Linked DNA regions of Sus scrofa. The protein of the gene in region 1 purifies or fractionates together with the protein of each later gene. This does not show direct contact. Links are inferred from orthologs where the notes say so. Each region holds a gene or a part of one and is shown in the gene's direction. Other genes may lie near its edges.

Region 1 (3,510 bases):
CTTGCATGTGCTGCAAGTGTGGCCCTAAGCCAAAAAAAAAAAAAAATTCTTACGATTCATTCAGCCAAAGTAGTTTTATAGCAGAGGCAACTCAAAATAGTAGAAAGTTCCTCAGCACTGTTTTAGGCATGAATTTCAACATCTCTCCCAAATCTTTCACCAAAATTGCTGTGTTAAAATTTAAACCTTTGGGTTTTTCCTGCAGTTATCTGTTAATGGTGAGAGAAAGCTGTAAGCCAAAAAGTAAAAGAAAGAAATGATAGGAATTATGTCATCTGTAGTTTTAATAAGCATTCAGCAAATAGTCAAGGTTTAACTGTAATCTTACCTTAAGGCTAATCAGTGTTTGCAGTTATACCTCAGTTAGCTGTTAGTAGTCATGAGGATAAGTATGTGTAGAACTAACTTTTTAAACTTTCTTTTTATAATTTCAGGTATAATTTGGGTGACTACAATGGAGAGATCATGTCTGAGGTTATGGCACAGAGACAGCCAATGAAACCTACTTACACCATCCCCACCATCCCCATCAGCAACAGCAGTCAGTTTAAACACCAGGAAGCCATGGATGTGAAGGAGTTTAAAGTTAATAAGGTGATAAAAATTGCTCTGATAATAGCTGAAAATGTTAGTGGTGTTTTATCGTTACATTCAAAATGAGGAGTTCCCTGGTAGCTCAGCCAGTTAAGGATCTGAAGTTGTCATTGCTGTGGCTCTGCTTTACTGCTGTGGCAAGTGTTCAGTCCCTGGCCCAGGAACTTCACATGCCCTGGGTATGGCAAAAAAAAAAAAAAATCAGAGTGGAAAAGAAATATGTATGTTTATGTATATATATAAACCCTACTCTTAAAACCAGATTTTGATTTAAGACTGGACTGTTGATACAGCACTAGAAATCATAAAGAGAAATACTTCATCATTTAATAATTAACTTTTCTTTAAAAAGCTTAATGCCATAAATTGTATGAAACTTGACATAAATATTTAGCATATTTATACAACCATGATACTTGCCATGTTCTTTTCTTCCCAGGAAATATCATTTGTGCCTCTAATCTTTCTTGCCTGTTGCCTACACATGGAATTCGTACCCCCACAGCCTCTGCCATCACCTGCTATGCTCATTTGTAATAGGCACTGTGATCCTCACTCCATCACTCTTGCCTCTCTCTCTTTTATCCCTGCATTTCCCTATCTGATGATTTCATATCTTTATCCTTTAAAACTGCTCACAATTTTTCACTCCAAAAAGCTTTCGTTGTTGAGCCAGCAAGTCCTTACTACTCTTGACTTTTGGGGGTGTTGGTGGGAGTCGCCCCCACAGCATGCAGAAGTTCCCCAGCCAGGGATTGAAGCCTCGCCACAGTTGTGACCTATGTACTCTTTATTTTTTTAATACTTTTGCATCATCAATTTATTTTTCACTATGCTAACAGTTATCTGAAGTTTGCTCTGTGTGTATATAAAATTGTTTTAATTAATGCTTTTCCAGGGTTGATTTGTTACTTTTTTAAAGACTAGGCATCCCTTTTGAAAAATTCTGCCCTAGCATTTTCATAGAAGTTAAGAAAAAGATACAAGAGCCAGTGGTAAAAACTAATTGCAGTTGCAAGATCTCAGAGGCTGGAGAACTTTGACTTTAATGGAAACAGTACTTGATGATTATGTTTAGGTTGTAGGAACATACTTATGTTTTCACAGAGACCAGCCTCTGAGACTTTACAGTGTAAGACGACAAAACGTAAAGGTCTTGTGTCTCTGATGGTAGAAAGGCCTTCATTTTAGCAGTGAACTTATTTTTAAGACTTCCCCAGAACTTTCAGTTTGTTGAACATGGTTTCTAGTGTTTAATTCCTGACTGTATTGCAGCAAGATAAAGCCGATCTTACCCGACCTAAACGTAAATATGAAAAGAAGCCCAAAGTCTTACCTTCGTCTGCTGCTGCTGCCCCTCAACAGGCGAGCCCCGCCGCGCTGCCGCCCTTCAGCGCTAGAGACCTGAATCAGTACGACTTCCCCAGCTCGGATGAAGAGCCTCTGTCCCAGGTGAGTGGCGAGGGTTCTCTGCGGACACAGGCGGTAACATGGGAGGCACACGTTCTGACTGGCTTCCTTCCATTGAAAGGTTTTGTCTGGCTCTTCGGAAGCTGAGGAAGAGAATGACCCCGATGGCCCCTTTGCTTTCCGTCGGAAGGCAGGCTGTCAGTACTATGCGGTAAGTTCCTAGTTCTCTTCTCGAGTGACAGACTGTTTACCTCTCGCTGACCAAGAAAAATAATTGGGGTTTTTCTTTTTAAGCCTCACTTAGACCAAACTGGCAACTGGCCTTGGACTAGTCCTGGCGATGGCGGATTGGGGGATGTGCGATACCGATACTGCTTAACCACCCTGACCGTACCCCCGAGGTGCATTGGATTTGCACGAAGACGGGTTGGGCGCGGTGGAAGGTGAGGTGTCTGTACTCTTGCAATGGGGATGTTTTAGGTGGCGGGGTCAGGGGATCTCAAGTTAAAGTGAGGTCATCTGTCTAAAGAGCTCATTTGTTCCCACCTGCTGTTCTTAACCAATTTTTTGGACTAAAATACTGGCTACCTGTTTCTTTGTTTTTCTTTTTTCTTCTTTCTTTTTTTTTAGGGTCGCATCCATGGCATATGGAAGTTCCCAGGCTAGTGGTCAAATCGGGAGCTACAGCTGCCGACCTACACCACAGCCACAGCCACAGCCACACAGGATCCGAGCTGCGTCTACGACCTATACCACATTGCACAGCAATGCCGCATCCTTAACCCACTGAGCGAGGCCAGGGATCAAACCTGCAACCTCATGGTTACTAGGTGGATTCGTTTCTGCTGTGCCACAACGGGACCTCCTGATACCTATTTCTTATTCAGCCATAGCTTTTAATGCATAACTAATAGTTGCCTAATGGATCTGCTTTTCTTCCTGAGATTGTAAACCTCAGATATCTATTCTTAAGAGATAGAACTCTGAGAAAAGGCAGCAGATGAAGGCAAGTGTAAACCATAATTACATAAATTGTATTAAGTTAAGGAGACTACACAAAATTGTTCTAGGAGTTCTGGGAGACATTGGGGGAAAAGGATTAAATAGGCTAAGGAATGTCACATAACTAGTATACTGAGTTAACTCCCAGTGGAAAGGCTCCAGGATTCACAAGCCTTGATATCGCCTTGTCTGGACTTCTTTGTTTAAACCTGATGAAGCCCTTCACACTATAGATGCCTTGGTGTGAGAGGTTGTGTGGGGAAGGAAGAAATTACGGAAATTAAAAAAGCAAAGAAAGACAAAGACACTCAAGTAAATGTGAAAAAAAAATTTTTTTTTAAAACAAAACGGAGTTTCTGTTGTGGTGAAGCAGAAACAAATCCGAATAGTATCCGTGAGGATTCAGGTTCCATCCCTGGCGTCGCTCAGTGGGTCAGGGATCCAGTGTTGCCCTGAGCTGTGGTGTAGGTTATGAATGTGGCTTGGATCCCACATTGCTGTGGC
Region 2 (4,227 bases), on another chromosome or scaffold:
CCACAGTCACAGCCATGCAGGATCCCAGCCACGCATGCCATCTAGTCCACAGCTCAGGGCAACCAAGGATCCTTAACTCACTGAGTGAGGCCGGGAATTGAACTCGCGTCCTCGTGGATACTAGCTGGGTTCTTTAGCGCCAAGCCACAACAGGAACTCCCAATTTTTTAATTTTAAAATTAACAGCAAATTTCCAAAAAAACTTGATAAAACTTTCAGATTGAAACCCAAACTACAGTACTAAAGAGTATATATTTCAAATTTTCTTAATGTCAGAAATACTGAATTATGTTTATAACGTAATTACTGTTAAAACTCCAAGTATGAAAGATTTGGATCACTACTGTCTCCAAGCAGCTGGACGTGTACAGAGGTGCTATTAATCTATTAGTTGGAAAATTAAGTAGCTGGCATTATGATAGTACTGTGTGTACAGTACTATTTTTTTAAGCCCATCATTTGCATTTGATTACATGGACCATCTGTAACTGCCTGTGAATCATATGAGGACATTTACCGAACATTTGTCAAGTAGCAAAATGTTTAGCATAGAAGAGTTGACACATAATAGCCTTCATGTTTCACTAAATCAACTTTAGAAGCCAGGCTATAGGTACAACCCACAGACGTGTAGTCTTTAGAAAAATATGATTTGATTAAAGAATACCGCCTCAGCCCAAGCCTTCAGTGGGTAGACCAAAAGGTCTTTTATGACCAGCGAGGTGACTTTGCTTCACCGTCTTTTCCATGAAACTGTTCTGTTGGGGTTGGGGAGGTAGGGGGTTCAAAAAGTCCTGAGAAAAGAAGAGGAAGGAGATACAGCTGAAAAAGTGGGAGCAGAGGGTCGTGATGAATCGGTGGCTGGGCACTTGCCTAGGAGGAACAAACGCGAAATCACTACCCAGACTATGGTTAGCGAAGGAGTCGGGGCGCCTTTCACTGGACGCCTTCGCGCCACCTGTCAGACCGGAGGTGTCAACGGGAATGCAGGGGGGTCGGTGAAGGTACCCCGTGCTCCGGAAGAAGGCTGCGGACAGGCGGGTCTCTGCCCGCCAGGTGTTCTAACGGGGCGGAGGCGGAGGGAGGGCAGGGCAGGAAGGAGGGAGTGCTAGTCCCCGCTTTCCGAGGTCTCTGGAACCGAGCAAGGAGGCAAAGGTGGAATAGGGGGCAGCTACTGCGTGCCCCTCCCCTGAGCCTCTCAGCTCCTCCCTCCAGGCACGTGACTAAGCCGGCGGGTGCCCTGCTCAAGCAGCGTAGCTCGCTCTGTTTCTTCCCTCCCGCCGCTGTGCCCTTCTTCTCCCGGGTTCCCATCCCTCCGTTCTCCCCCACCTCCTTCTCATGCCCCAATAACAGCTCGAGCTGCAAAGCGCCCGCCCCTCCGCCCTTTTCTTCGCTTGCTCATTGGCTGAGACTTCAAGGACGCGGCCCGAGGGCGGGTGGCAGCCATTGGTGGGATGAGCAATCCGAGTTCCCGGATGAGGGAACATTCTGCAGTATAAAGGGAGCGGGGAAGGCGGGAGACAGCGCAGTTTGAATCGCGGTGCGACGGAGGAGTAGGCGGCGGGATCTCGCTTGGTGACTGACTAGTCCTTTCTCTGCCTTGCTTGTTTGAGCTTCAGCAGAATTCGAAATGGTAAACTTCGCGGAGGCGCTCGAAGACTACGCGGGTTTTTGCCGGCAGGAGAAAAACCCGTTACACACGGAGATGGGGGTGAAGCGGTGACGGTTGGGAACGCGCGGAGAGAGGATGTGGAAGAGCGGGGGGAGGTGTTTTGTCGGCGGCGAGCGGAGCAGCCTCCGATCTCGCGGCGGGCGGCGACGGTTGGGTGGCGCGCGCAGCGCCGCTGGGAGCCGGAGGGCGGTGAGCGGGCGGCCTGAAGCGCGCGGCCGCGGCGGGCGCGCAGCGGGGGGCAGGCGGGCGGGGTCGCCCTTGCGGCGCGCGGCGGGCCGGAGACCCCGGCTGGGCACCGGGCCCCGCTCGCGCCCGGGCCGCCCCGCGGTGGGGGAGGGGCGCGCCGCCTTGGTAATCCTGTATTCTGCGTTCCTTCTTCGCTCGCGGGCGTGTGCGCGCCGCAGGCTGGCGGTAAGGCTGGGAAGGACTCCGGAAAGGCCAAGACAAAGGCGGTTTCCCGCTCGCAGAGAGCCGGTTTGCAGGTCAGTGGGGGTTTCTGCTGTCTGGGAATCGCGGCGTTTTTCTCTCCTTTTTCTCTGTTTATCATTGCACTAGATGAGCTTTTGGTCTTTGCGTGGTGATGGTGTCGGGACTTGGTTTACCGATACAATAAATATTGGGGAAGGGGGGGCGATCACGTGTGGCGATGCTAGGGCGCGTTGCTGCATCAGCCTCCGTGCCCCTTGCTTTGGCGCGCGTATAATTTGACCATTTTTGGCTCCTCTATCTTTGTGCATTTGTGTTTGTGTATGCGAAAAATGAAGTTTCCGGTGGGCCGTATTCATCGACACCTGAAATCTAGGACGACCAGCCATGGACGTGTGGGCGCGACTGCCGCTGTGTACAGCGCAGCCATCCTGGAGTACCTCACCGCAGAGGTAAATGGGTGTACGCCTGTAATCTGGAAAAGGTGGTGGGGGGAGGCGGTGAGAGGGAAGGAGGAAAGTGATGCAAGAAAACTCCCAGGCTCTGAACGCGGTGAGAAGCTTCTGACAACGCTAGAGGGGGCTGGTGTTCATTTTGGGTTCCTCCTGAGCTTGAGTTGACTGCTTTAGGAAATAAAATTGCGTGTCCCCTTTATAGCTTTTGCATATCTTGCCATTCAGGTAGTGGGGGGAGACGGCAGTTGGTAGATACACGTTCACGAAGGTTTGATTCTTCTGGATCTTGATCCTAAGGAAAGTTGGCAGGAGATTGATTAGATTCTGTCTTCTAGGTACTTGAATTGGCAGGAAATGCATCAAAAGACTTGAAGGTAAAGCGTATTACTCCTCGTCACTTGCAACTTGCTATTCGTGGAGATGAAGAATTGGATTCTCTCATCAAGGCTACAATCGCTGGTGGTGGTATGTAAATACTAAAAATTTTTTAATTTCTTTAGATAATTCTTTACTTTTTTCCCCCACTAGAAGAGGACACTTAGTGTTATTTTCAGTGATCTGTAGTATGGTTGCATCATGAAAATTGATTCCTGTATATAACTTAGTGAATTTTTACTTCTGCATACTCTGGCCTCACATTTAAAGACTTCTTCGAAGTTGAACGTTAAACTGTCATGGTTTTGAAGTCCTGTGTTAATTTTCAAAATAATGTATATTTAAAAGTATCCCTTTCCTCCCCTAGGTGTCATTCCACACATCCACAAATCTCTCATTGGGAAGAAAGGACAACAGAAGACTGTCTAAAGGATGCCTGGATTCCTTATTATCTCAGGACTCTAAATACTCTAACAGCTGTCCAGTGTTGGTGATTCCAATGGACTGTATCTCTGTGAAAAACACAATTTTGCCTTTTTGTAATTCTATTTGAGCAAGTTGGAAGTTTAATTAGCTTTCCAACCAACCAAATTTCTGCATTCGAGTCTTAACCATATTTAAGTGTTACTGTGGCTTCAAAGAAGCTATTGATTCTGAAGTAGTGGGTTTTGATTGAGTTGACTGTTTTTAAAAAACTGTTTGGATTTTAATTGTGATGCAGAAGTTATAGTAACAAACATTTGGTTTTGTACAGACATTATTTCCACTTCGGTGGATAAGCTCAATAAAGGTCATATCCCAAACTAGTTGTGTATTAAATTCACTTGATTATGATGGGAACAACTTTTGTTTTGAATAACTATCTTATCCAGCAATAACTTAATAAGCACGTTTCTTACCTTGAAATTAAAATGTTAATTTTGTAGATCAACAAACCTCGAAGGCTAAAGCATATATATATTTTTTAATGCTATGAGATGAACTATTAAAGATTTTAAAACTTCAGTAGGAGCTTGGAACTGGACAAGGTGATGTTTTTTAGGTTAAATTTGATCATCTCAATTTGTCGCTGCACTTGCTGTTTGTGACAGCAGCACTACATCCAGAGCACTGTCATGGACTGGGGCAGGTAGGGAAGTTCTGTATATTGCTACCTCCACAGAAGGTACTTTCAGTATAAACAGTGAAGTGTTTCCTGTGTTCTCCCACTGTTTCAAAGGCTACCTGGATTAAACTGTTCAGTATGCACCATCTAATCCCGTTTTTACAGAAAAGAATCAAGGTTGGAGTTCCCCTGTG
Region 3 (4,284 bases), on another chromosome or scaffold:
GCTTATTGATTATTTCCCCCCCCACACACACACACACACCGGGAACTGTAAGGAGATTAAAGGGAAAGGCCTCCATCTGTTACACCTCGTGTGTGTAAGTGGCTTGGGGCTTCCTCCCCACAGGCAGCAACCCTGAGGTGAGCCCAGCTGGCAGGTCAGAGGGAGGGGAGGAGACACACCTGGCAAGAATCCCAACTTAGGGAGTTCCCTTTGTGGCTCAGCGGTTAATGAACCCAACTAGGATCCATGAGGATGCGGGTTTGATCCCTGGCCTCACTCAGTGGGTTAAGGATCCGGCGTTGCCATGAGCTGTGGTATCTAGGTTGCAGATGCAGCTCACACCCGCTGTGGTGTAGGCTGGCAGCTACAGCTCTGATTCGACCCCTAGCCTGGGAACTTCCATACGCCGCAGGTGCAGCCCTAAAAAAAAGCAAATAATAATAATAATGGAATCACAACGTCCAGCCATAACATGGCTCACAGGACGGCCGGCTCTGCTGACCGCGTCTTCCCACCTTGTGGGCACCAGCATGGGAAGCCGGGACTCAGGCTCTGAGTCCACCGGGAGGTGACTGGCTGGCCAGAGCCCACACGGCCAAGGGGCAGCGCTCACCGCTGTGGCTCCAAATGTCTGCTAAGACGCCCGAGCCTGTGCTGGGGCACCCAGAAACCAAGCCCCATCAGTAACCCCACTGCACGGAGGAGGAAGCTTAGGCCTGAAGAGGTCCAGCACCTTGCAGCGCTCACAGAACTAGCAGGTCGCGGAGCCGGAAGAGGACCCGGAAGCCCGACGCGGGAGTCTACACCCGGGAGGTGAAGAGCGCTCGCGCGTTGGGCAAGAGCCCTGGCACCGCGGTGGGCGTGGCCTAGCGGAGAGGGGCGGGGGGAGCCGCGAGGGCGGGGCCGGGCCGGGCCGGGGCGGAGCCGGCGGCCTCCATTGGGTGCTTCTTTGAGTTCGTCACAGGACTGCCAGGCCAGACTCCGCCCAGGCCCCGCCCCTCCGTGGGGGTTAACCCCGCCCCCTCCGGCCTGGGCCCTCCTGCCCTTTAGGCTGAGGCCCGCGGTCAAGGCGCGGGGCCCAGACGCCTCTGCCCCGGCGCGCGGGGGCCGCTCTGTTCCACACTCAGGCCAGAGGTCAGCCAGGGGCTTTTGAAGCCCTTGGAGCCACACTCGCGGGCATTGTCAGTTGCCTGTTCTTTTTCTTCCTAGCAGCTTTACTGAGGTGTAACTTGCAATTCCTCCATTTAAAGCGCACAGTTCTGCGGGGTTTACCCAGAGCTGTGCAGCCATCGCCACAACTTAATTTAGGGCGTTTACATCCTCAGTCCCTCTCATCCTCCTCAGGCTCCGACGGCGCTGCGCTGAGAGACCTGGCCGCCAGGGGGCGCCGCGACCCCGCCCTCAGCTGCGCCTGCGCCGACTCCGCGCGCGAACCCCAGAGCGAGCCCGCCGAGCGCGCGCCCGCCCCGCGAGTGCGCCTGCGCGGAGCCCGTGGCCGCGCCCGCTCCCGCCGGGGGCTCGTCGCTGGGCGGCCGGGCCATGGGGGAGGCCGAGGTGGGCGGCGGTGGCGCGGCGGGCGACAAGGGGCCCGGGGAGGCAGCCACCAGCCCGGCCGAGGAGACGGTCGTGTGGAGCCCCGAGGTGGAGGTGTGCCTCTTCCACGCCATGCTGGGCCACAAGCCCGTCGGTGAGCGGAGCGCCGCGCCGAGGCCGCGCACCCGCGTGGGGGCGGGGCGGCCGGCAACGGCCGGGGGCGCGCGCGGGGCGGGCGGGGCGGGGCCTCCTGCGCCTGCACCCCTGCACACCCTGCCCCCACCTGCTCGCCCCTCCCCGGCCTGCTCCTTGCAGTCCCCTCCCCCGCTCGACTTTGCCCCCTCCCGCCCCCACCCCCCCACGCCGGCCGACCCCTGCCTTCACCTGCACCCCTGCCCCCTTTGCTCCTCCCCCACTGACCCCTACCTCTTCCTCTCCCCCCTTGTACCTGCCACCAACCCCATTCTACCCCCGCGCCCTCCAAGCACTGCCCCCGTCTCCCCCTGCGCCTTCTCCCCTCTCTTCCCCTTGACCCCCACGTCTGTTCTCCAAACTACCTGTCTGCCCCCACGGGCTGACCCTTTCCCCCTGCAGGTGTGAACCGGCACTTCCACATGATCTGTATCCGGGACAAGTTCAGCCAGAACATCGGCCGGCAAGTGCCCTCCAAGGTCATCTGGGACCACCTGAGCACCATGTACGACATGCAGGCACTGGTGAGCTGGCCCCCACCCTCCCCCAGACAGGTGGTGGCCGAGAGCCCCCTCCGTGCGCCTCCCTGCGTCTACACCAGGCCCTGTCCTCAGGGAACTTGACGTCTGGGCTGCCCCGCAGGGGACCAGTTGTTCAACAAGGTAGCTCCGAGCAGTTTTACAGAAAACACAAACCTAGTGACGGTAGCTGGTTATCACATGGCACCTACTTGCAATTGAGGGGTCAGTTAGGACCTGGCCAGGAGACGACTGAGGAGCTGAGGCCTGTGGGAGGGGCTCTGAGGCCATTGTCAGTCTTACAGAAAGTCCCAGAGTGCTGTAGGCAGGGAGGTGGCAGGGTCTGAGTCAGGTTAAGGTGACACTGGTGACTGCTGGTAGAACCAGGCAGGCAGGGACCCGGGCCTCACGGAACCCCCCCTGAGCCATGTCGTTAGCGGGGCAGATGAACTAGGGGAACAGGGTGGCCAAAGAGACCAGTGGCGTTCCCAGCAGAGGAGCGGCAGGTGTCAAGGCTCTGTGGCAGCAGGCGTTGGTGCATCAGAGGACGCAGAGGAGGCCAGGGTGTCTGGAGAGTGGGTGGGAGCCGGGTGGCAGGTGCCCGGTGAGGTGGGAGCCTGTGCTGGGTTAGGGAAGGCTCCATCTCCCCTCACGCCCCCAGGCGAGAATTGGTGCGTGTGGGCAAAGGGGGCAGCAGACCCCCAGCCGTCTGGGTCCAGAAACCTCACTGCCATTCCCTCCCTTTGGCCTTGGGCGTGGCACTCACATCTCGTCCTGGTGTAGGGAGGAGAGAAAGGTGACCACTGTGTCCTGGGACCAGCGCCTGGCCTGCAGTAGGCATTCTAGAAACTCGAGAACTGGCCGCTAAACTACACCAGGCCCACCCAAAGGGCCATGCCTGCTGGTCAGGGCCTTGCCCTCCGTGAGTTCCCGGGTTCCACAGCTTGACTGGGCTCGCATACCTGTCACACTGTGAGGTCACCTGGCCCCCAGGCACGTCCTGAGCCCTGACTGCTGGCTGGACCCAGAGATCAGAGTGGCAGGGTCCCCGACCTGGGGGAGGCAGATGGTTCTTAGGCACGCTGCTGGCCCAGAGGATCCCATGGCTGTGACCCCAGCACAGGGCCCACGTGACACTCAGGGAACTGCAGCGGGGGCACCCAGGGCTTTCAGCCCGGGACAGTGGCCCTTCTCTCTTTTCCTCGCACCCTAGCATGGCTGTGGGGCTGACGTCACGGTCACCTGGGGCCTTGAACCCCACCCGCAAGGTGCCGTGGGCGCAGGAACCCTCGGGTTTTGAAGCTCCTCGATGCCGATCAGCACGTTTACACGCTGACCGCCTGGTGATGAGCACGGCTCCCGAGTGTCTCCTGATCGCCCCCAACCCTGAGTCCCTCCTGCCAGCTAAGCTCTCCCTTCGTCCCATGGGCTGCGTCTCCACCGTCTCTGTCCGGTCCGGCAGGTGCGAGCTGCCAGCCAGGTGGAACACGCTGAGCATCGGCGGTGCCTGCTCCCCTGCACTCACCTGCTTCCCACCCCGGTGGCCCGCCCACATGGGTGAGACGGGAGCCCCATGGCCTTTCTGCAGGGTTGTCACGGCCCTCGGATCGCGTGCTCCCGGAGCCTGCACAGCCGGGCCAGGCCTGCGGGACAGCTGCAGCCTGATTCTGGCCCTGCAGGTGTGCCAGCAGACTGGGCACCCTGGCCCCATCTCAGGTGACAGTCAACCCAGAGTCTTCCCTCTCGTGACTGATGCTGGTGGCTCATGCTGTGGTTTTGCCTTGTCTGGCTCCGTGTGACAAGCCCAGCCCCTCGTAAACCGTAGAAGAGAAAGAAACGGCCTCGGCCCCCTCCACCTGCCCACTGCAGCCTCGAGACCGTTACCTGTGTTTGTTGTTTGCTCCTGAATTTAAAAGTCACGTTTAAGAGCTCCCTGGTAGCTCAGTGGGTTGGGGATCGGGTGTTGTCACTGCAGCGGCTCGGGTTGCTGCTTTGGCTCGGGTTTGATCCCTGGCTCAGGAGCTTGTGTGCGCCACAGATA

Evidence for each region.
Region 2: the proteins of EPC1 (region 1) and H2AFZ purify together in Homo sapiens (affinity purification with mass spectrometry; 4 studies listed by BioGRID and IntAct, with this or other methods). This does not show direct contact. The link is inferred for Sus scrofa from reciprocal best matches to the Homo sapiens genes EPC1 and H2AZ1.
Region 3: the proteins of EPC1 (region 1) and MRGBP purify together in Homo sapiens (affinity purification with mass spectrometry; 6 studies listed by BioGRID and IntAct, counting the BioPlex papers as one, with this or other methods). This does not show direct contact. The link is inferred for Sus scrofa from reciprocal best matches to the Homo sapiens genes EPC1 and MRGBP.

What each region holds. Positions count from the first base shown.
Region 1 is NC_010452.4:42,850,020-42,853,529, reverse strand, and holds part of EPC1 (enhancer of polycomb homolog 1), read left to right. Parts: intron 1-434; coding exon 435-594; intron 595-1,869; coding exon 1,870-2,046; intron 2,047-2,125; coding exon 2,126-2,215; intron 2,216-2,298; coding exon 2,299-2,447; intron 2,448-3,510. UniProt on the Homo sapiens protein: Component of the NuA4 histone acetyltransferase (HAT) complex, a multiprotein complex involved in transcriptional activation of select genes principally by acetylation of nucleosomal histones H4 and H2A.
Region 2 is NC_010450.4:120,562,307-120,566,533, forward strand, and holds H2AFZ (histone H2A.Z), read left to right. Parts: upstream 1-1,445; 5' UTR 1,446-1,630; coding exon 1,631-1,633; intron 1,634-2,076; coding exon 2,077-2,154; intron 2,155-2,436; coding exon 2,437-2,550; intron 2,551-2,888; coding exon 2,889-3,018; intron 3,019-3,295; coding exon 3,296-3,357; 3' UTR 3,358-3,717; downstream 3,718-4,227. UniProt on the Homo sapiens protein: Variant histone H2A which replaces conventional H2A in a subset of nucleosomes. Nucleosomes wrap and compact DNA into chromatin, limiting DNA accessibility to the cellular machineries which require DNA as a template.
Region 3 is NC_010459.5:62,056,927-62,061,210, forward strand, and holds the start of MRGBP (MRG/MORF4L-binding protein), read left to right. Parts: upstream 1-1,474; 5' UTR 1,475-1,539; coding exon 1,540-1,687; intron 1,688-2,127; coding exon 2,128-2,249; intron 2,250-4,284.